2 linked regions of the Callithrix jacchus genome follow. The protein of the gene in region 2 purifies or fractionates together with the protein of the main gene of each other region. This does not show direct contact. Links are inferred from orthologs where the notes say so. Each region holds a gene or a part of one and is shown on either strand. Other genes may lie near its edges.

Region 1 (3,603 bases), on a different chromosome or scaffold from region 2:
CATGGTGGCTCACACCCGTAATCCCAGAACTTTGGGAGGCCGAGCTGAGAGGATAGCTTGAGCGCAATAGTTGAGACCAGCCTGGGTAACACAAAAGCACAATAAAGTAAAGCATAATGAAACGAGGTGTACCTATATATAGTAAAATAAAATAATGTGACACAGTAATAACAAATGCCATGGTTTAATTTTTAAAGGCATTTTCATCCTTAAAAACACCAGGATTTAATGCAGGATAATATAAGGCTATTTCCTTTCTGCCCTACGTGAAAAAACAGAAAGCTCAAAATCAACCCAATTTCGTGTGCGGCACTTTTCTAATTAATTTTTAATATTTACATGTTAAGAGAATTATCACAAAAATTCCAACTTTTCCTGAAAAAAAAAATGTGAAGAGCTGGCAATCCTAGGCCCATTAATCTCCAGGTGACAACCACCAGATGAAACCAAGAAAAGGCTGCATTCTCCTATCACACTCTACACTAATGTTTGTCTACCACCTACGGTTACTTTGTTAAACCAGGTCTGTTCACTCACTTTTATTACATATTTGCTGCCATAAGCATTTGTAAAACCCTGTTTTTGTATCATCAGGTAAATGTAATACATACTATAAACTAACAAAACTACAGAATGACCTATTTAGTTACAAAAGACCACACAGTACACAATTCCATTTATATGAAATGTCCAGAATCAGCAAATCTACAGACAGTAGCAGTTTGGTGGTTGCCTAAGGCAGGGTTGGTGAGGAAGAACAAAGATGACTACTGCTAATGGGTTTAGAACTTCTTTTTGATATATGTTTTAAAATTAGACTGTGGGCCGGGCACGGTGGCTCACGCCTGTAATCCCAGCACTTTGGGAGGCTGAGGCTGGGAGCACAAAGTCAGGAGTTCCAGATCAGCCTGGCCAATACGGTGAAACCCTGTCTCTACTAAAAATACAAAAATTAGCTGGACTGGTGGCAGGCGCCTGTAGTCCCAGTTACCTGGAGGCTGAGGCAGGAGACTCGCTTGAACTCAGGACGCAGAGGCTACAGTGAGCCGAGATCGCGCCACTGTACTCCAGCCTGGTGACAGAAAAAGACTCCATCTCTAAATAAATAAAGTGTATATAAACCAGTTTTTTGTAAAATGAGCTTTTCAGTTATCCTTTGTTTTACAAGACTCATTTGTAACCTAAATCGTGAAATTTTCCATCTTTCAATTTGTAAAAGAAAAAATAAAAATAAAAATTATAATAATATGGGGAAGGGGGTTGGGGGAGGCACGGTGGCTCACACCCATAATCCCGTAATCTGTTAATAGGCAACCATTAGAGCACCATTTCTAACAGATTCTGAAAGCAATTCTGAATCCTTGGTTCCATTACTGGCAGAGGATTTAATTATAATCTAAAAATATTACAATTAAATTAAAAACTTACTCTTTCTTCTTCTTGTTGTTCCCACAGATCCATGTCTTTAATTCTCTGTTCCTCGTAAGCACTCTTTATCAAAGGAATTTCTTCCAAACGTTTGGCTCTTTCAAAATAGTCAATCTAAATGACATGAAAACAAACGTCGTTTCTACAAATCTCTTTTAACTTGGTATGTTAAGGGTTTACCCATCTTTCATTTACCTTCTTTTCTTGATTCTTCAGGCGTTCTTGGAGTTCTTTCTTTTCTTTCTCCAGTTGTTCAACCTGTTTAGCCATGATGAAATCTGGATCCAATTCTTCAAGGTCCTGAAAGGTAATACGAATGCACAATTGTTAATAAGGATAAACAAGCAATGCCTAACATAATTCACTGTTTTCTAGAATAAAATCCTAAATTCCTTTTATTGTTACAATGGGTGATAATTTAGGAAATGTAAAAGTATCATAAAATAGCCTTATTTCCATTTGACCGTAAGGAAAAAAAATCCACACATCTTTTTCTCACTCTTCTAATTTACATCTCCCCATACTCTACTATAGGGTGAGCAAACCTAATCCAAAAACTCATCTGAAATGCTCCAAATTTTAAAACTTGGTGAGCACCAACATGGTGCCACAAATGTAAAATTCCACACCTAACACATGTGACAGGTCAGTCAAAATGCATTCAGAACTGTTTCATGCACAAAATTGTGTAAAATACTGTATAAAGTTACCTTCAGGCCATGTGTATAACATGTCTATGAAACAGACCAGTCATGGTAGTTTGCACCTGTAATTCCAGCACTTTGGGAGGCAAGTGCAGGTTGATCACTTGAGGTCAGGAGTTCAAGACCAGCCTGGCCAACATGGTGACACCACCATCTCTACAAAAATACAAAAACTAGCCGCCAGGCGTGGTGGCACAAGCCTGTAATCCTGGCTACTTGGGCTGAGGCAAGAGAATCACTTGAACTCAGGAGGCGGAGGTTGCAGTGAGCCAATATACCACTGCACTCCAACCTGGGCAACAGAGTGAGACTGTCTTTAAAAAAAAAAAAAAAAAAAAAAAGTGTCTTATGAAACAAATGAATTTCGTGTTTAGCCTCTGGTCCAAACCCCAAAATATCTCTTTATATGTATATGGAAATATTCCAAAATCCAAAGAAATCCAAAATCTGAAACATATCTGCTCCCTAGCATTTTGGGTAAGGGATACATAACCTGTCCTGTGATTAATATATAGCGGTTAAAACTGCACAGAGCAGGCCAGGCACGGTGACTCAGCCTGTAATCCCAGCACTTTGGGAGGCTGAGGCAGGTGAATCACCTAAGGTTGGGAGTTTGAGACCAGCCTGGCCAACATGGTGAAACCCCACGTATACTAAAAATACAAAAATTAGCTGCACGTGGTGGCGGGCACCGGTAATCCCAGCTACTCGGGAGGCTGAAGCAGGAGAATCGCTTGAACCCGGAAGGCAGAGGTTGCAGTGAGCCAAAATCACATCACTGCACTCCAGTCTGGGAAATAAAAGTGAGACTCTGTCTCAAAAAAAAAAACAAATTGCACAGAGCGATTAAACATATGCTTATTCACAGATTTAGTCATGACCAGCTGTACCAAAATGCATAAAATAACTCAAAATAAGCCAACAAATGGCAAAGGACTATGGTTCTAAGCGTATAAAAGACCTGGATAAAACTAAGTTTTTTAACGACTAAAATGCTACACACTTCAATGTCAATATCTTTGAATGCTTTGGCACCCAGTTCCGTTTTCTTGATCTGCTCCAAACGCTCTCGGACAGTTTTCTTTTTGATTTGTTCATGTTCCTGCAAGATACGCTCCTTTTCTCTCTCCTTGGCTTCCTGGCGCAGCCTCTCTTCCTCAGCCTTTCGTACTTTCTGGAGTTCAGCTTCCCTCTGTTCCAATTCTTCTTTCTCACGCTGAATATTCAAACTCTCAAGGCGCTCTTTTCTTTCCTCAATTGTCTGGCGACGAGCCAGGATCCGCTGGTGCTCTTTTCGTGAATTTTTTAGGTATGCAGTAACCGCCAACTGATGCTGTTCTTCTTTTTCTTGCTTCGAAAACAAATGAATTTTGAAAAATGAACAAAATTAATATTCTCTGGTAGTAGGCATCAAAGAAATTACAAAATAATCCTGATGCACTGCCTTTCTATGTATCTGCATTTGATATTG
Region 2 (4,092 bases):
AGGCTGGTCTCGAACTCCTGACCTCATGATCTGCCTCTCAAAGTGCTATCTTGGCCTCTCAAAGTGCTAGGATTATAGGAATGAGCCACCGTACCTGGCCATTATGTTTTCCTTTTTTGAGACGGAGTCTTGCTCTGTGACCTAGGTTGGAGTGCAGTGGCGCGATCTTGGCTCACTGCAACTTCCAACTCCCAGGTTCAAGTGATTCTCCTGCCTCAGCCTCCTGAGTAGCTGAGACTACAGGCACCCAGCACCACGCCCAGCTAATTTTTGTATTTTTAGTAGAGACAGGGTTTCACCACTGGTTGGCCAGCTGATCTCGGAACTCCTGACCTCAGCCTCCTGGGATTACAGGTGTAAGCCACAGCACCCAGCCTTTAATAATTCTTTTTAAGAAGGAAAAACAAGGAATTAAGTGTACTGGCTCAATGCAACAAGTTTCTATGAATTCAAACTATCCTCATTCTGTAGTCAGTTCTGACACCTACCTTAGTTCCTGAAGGTCAATGGGTCACAGTGGAAACTGGTATTGCTGCAAAGAATTTTTTGGTCTCATTTAACAGTTAAAGAGGGATATGAAGTTGTTTTATGTATTTTCACAGAGAATACACAAGATCCACTTCCCACATCAGGGAATACCGGTTACTTCACAAAGCTAATGTGATTGGAGAAGAGGAGAGGGGAAACAAATCTGATAAACCCCAGATTCCTCAAGAGCAGACTGAAAGATGTGACTTGTGCTTAGATACCAGTAATACCAGTACCAGCTAAAAAGATTCACTAAAATGAATTAAAGCAGATGAGGGTTTTCAAATACAAAAAGCAGACGTCTGTAATCCCATCTAGTCAGGAGGCAGGAGAATCCCTTGAACCCGGGAGGTAGAAGTGGCAGTGAACCGAGATCGAGTCACTGCAGTCCAGCCTGGGCGACAGAGTGAGACTGTCTAAAAAAAATTAAGAAAGAAAGAAAGAACACGAGGGTTTTCAAGGGGGTAAATATGGAAGAACAAGAGAATGGGACGTCACTGAGTAAATCCCTGTAATCAGTCTGAATTTCATTCAACTCAGTAAAAAGAAGGGCATGAATTGCTGTCATGTCGTCTTCTGCCTCTAAAGGCTCCACAAAAGTTAAGAAAACACAGATTTTCTTCACTAAATTACGATACTAAACTGTTAAGGTGGCAAATCCAGACCAAATAGGTACTTTATGCAAAGGTTAGTTTAAAATATATTTAGGACTTTACTAGCTCACTGGAGAAAAAATATGAACTTTTGTAAACTTCAGACACTTTCGGGCAGCGCCCAAAACTGAAGATGACACCTTGGTACTTCTAAGTTGCTAAGGAGTCTCAAAGGTTTTGACCTTGCTCTGCCAGCTGAGAGCAGTGTGGCCTTAAATAATGTTCCTCAGCTGGGAACCACCACCATCTCTCTACATTACCTCAAGATCAAAGGAGACAACATGCACAAAAGTGCTTGGTTAACTGTCAAGTGTTACACCAATGAAAGATGTTCAAATGCACCTCAATTTTCTCAACGTTTTCCAAAGCCAGCCATAACCCTTATCTCCTTTGTAATAGAGAAAATGAATTACTGGGTAAGAAATGAGCACCCAAAGATAGGTTCAAATAATGTTTTGAAGAATGCAAGGTCATGCCAGAGAAAACAAACTATATTCCCCAAACTAAAATCAATGCTACAAGATGTTAGGTCATCAATGCTCTTATAAGCCCATTAGAAATGTAACTAGGCTTGCATGGCACTGATATTCCCCTCCAAAGATGTCTAAAGAAGTAAGCAACTCCAGCCACTAGTAAGCATTATTTTAAAAGTACCTGCTGGTGGTTGTACAGTTATCAAAAAAAAAAAAAAAAAAAAAGGCTGAAATCTTGAAACCTACCACTGGAACTATCCAAATTCAACCAATATGGAAGCGCCAGAAGAAAACCTCATCTTGGCATATAGCTGCGCTGAGTAAAAATGCGTCCAACTGAGTAAGAGAAAAAAACCTAGAAAGAAATCTAGGTGCACACCCGTGCTTCTCCAACACGTGGGCGCACCATACTGGGTTCCCCACCCCCATCTAACTCCAATAGCACCAACCTCCAAGCCTAACAGACGTACCCTCGGAAAAGTACAGGCACGGGGCCACACCCTAGAAAGGGAAGAGCACAACCTAAAAGGACATAAGAAGAGCTCAACACCAGGGCGTAAAAGCTTCCTATCTGGGTTCTAGCGCACGCATAGAAGGCGCGCCCGTCTCCACTACCCTCGCATCTCCTACGGCGCACGCGCACCGCTGCCTTCCCCCGCCCCTCCACCGACTCGCACTGGCGTTCTAACTGCTGCCCCCCCCTTTTCCCCTGCCCCCGACTCCGGTCCGCTACGCCTCGCGCATCGTAGACGTAGTCTAATGTGCACTCGTCCGCGCACCAACCGCCTCCTTCCTTTCTCCACGCCTTCACGCGAGCACGGTGCTTCACGTCTATGAAAACGCCTCGCACCACCCGCACACCTTTCTGCGCCTTCTTCTTCAATTCAAGCCTGAGTCCACCATTACTGCCTATTCCAATCTCGCGCAGAAAGTGTGAAAAGAGTGTGAGGGGGAGGGGAAAGTGTCCTTCCCCTCCCCCCAAACATCCCGAAGCAGCAACCTAACATGGCCACGCCGCCAGCCTGCCGCAGCCCTCAAGTCGGGAAGGAACCGGTGCTGGCAGTTCCCCGACTCCAGGAAATAAGTGGATCAGGCTCGGAGGAGGGTTTCAGAGCCCAGTCCTTGGCCGCGCTCGGCTGCTCGCTCACCTGAGGCCGCCATGTTGGGAGAGGGAAAGAGAACGCAAAGGACCCGGATGAGGCAATCACGTGATTCTAGTGGGCGCGTCGGGCTAGGAGACTCTAAGCTGGGAGGGGGCGGGGAGGTGAGGACGGAGACAGGAGGCGGGGCGGCGCTGCTCTAGGTTCGTAAAGTTGCGCGGCGAGGTGGCACAGTGTCCAACGGGGAGACATGCGCGACATGTGGCCAAAGGGGTGGGTCCTGGGCTGTCGCGAAACCCCTCACGCTTTACGTAGGGCTACACGCGGACGCGGGCCCGGAGCTAAGCCCCTGCCGGCCTCGTGACGCGCAGACTTCCTGCCAGAGCAGGGGGTGGCAAGGGCGGGGCTTCGCTGCTGGTTCCGCTTACTCTGCTCTGAGACGCGTCTTGATGGATTCGGAATGGGTGTCCATAAGTGGATGTTAAGAAAGGGAAGATTCTGAGTTTAATGGTGTTTTTTTTTTTTTGAGACGGAGTTTCGCTTTTGTTGCCCAGGCTGCTGGAGTGCAATGGCGCGACCTCGGCTCACTGCAACCCCCGCCTCTCGGGTTCAAGAGATTCTCCTGCTTCAGCCTCCGGATCAGCTGGGATTACAGGCGCCCGCCACCATTACCCGCTAGTTTTTTGTATTTTTAGTAGAAGCGGTGTTTCACCATGTTGGCCAGGCTTGTCTCGACTCCTGACCTCAGACGATCCACCCGCCTCGCCCTCTCGAAGTGCTGGGATTACAGGCGTGAGCCACCACGCCCGGTCTAGTTTTTAAAGGCCACATCAGAAATTACTGAGTTGGTTTTATTTATTTTTATTTCTTGAGACGGGGTCTCGCCTTGTCGCCCAGGCTGGAGTGCAGTGGCGCAGTCTCCGCTCACCGCATCCTCAACCTCTGGCACTCAAGCAGTCCTTCTACCTCAGTCTCTTGAGTAGCTGCAATCAAGTATTTGTGTGGACACGGAGTGGGGCGGGGTGGGGGTCTCCCTATGTCGCCCAGACTGGTCTCGAACTCCTGGGCTCAAGTATTACCTCCCTCTGTGGCCTCCCACAGTGCCGGGATTACAGGCGGGAGCCCCCGGCCTGAGTTTGTTTTCAAATTACTTTTTGTAAAGGCAAAACAAATCTAACATCTGTAAGAATGGTTTTAATGAGACATGTTTAGACAGAATGACAAGGTAACAAATGGTGAACACTTAATTGCCATGGCTTTTACCTCCCTTAATTCTCCAGTTTACTGACTAGGTTTGGTAAAACTCAGGCCTTTAGGATTTCAGAGCCCAGGGCTATC

Evidence for each region.
Region 1: the proteins of EIF4B (region 2) and EIF3A purify together in Homo sapiens (co-immunoprecipitation; 3 studies listed by BioGRID and IntAct, with this or other methods). This does not show direct contact. The link is inferred for Callithrix jacchus from reciprocal best matches to the Homo sapiens genes EIF4B and EIF3A.

Annotation. Positions count from the first base shown.
Region 1 is NC_133513.1:112,008,899-112,012,501, forward strand, and holds part of EIF3A (eukaryotic translation initiation factor 3 subunit A), read right to left. Parts: intron 3,484-3,603; coding exon 3,136-3,483; intron 1,729-3,135; coding exon 1,624-1,728; intron 1,543-1,623; coding exon 1,429-1,542; intron 1-1,428. UniProt on the Homo sapiens protein: RNA-binding component of the eukaryotic translation initiation factor 3 (eIF-3) complex, which is required for several steps in the initiation of protein synthesis.
Region 2 is NC_133510.1:66,554,472-66,558,563, forward strand, and holds the start of EIF4B (eukaryotic translation initiation factor 4B), read right to left. Parts: upstream 2,839-4,092; 5' UTR 2,816-2,838; coding exon of another isoform or gene 2,803-2,815; intron 533-2,802; 5' UTR 489-532; intron 1-488. UniProt on the Homo sapiens protein: Required for the binding of mRNA to ribosomes. Functions in close association with EIF4-F and EIF4-A. Binds near the 5'-terminal cap of mRNA in presence of EIF-4F and ATP.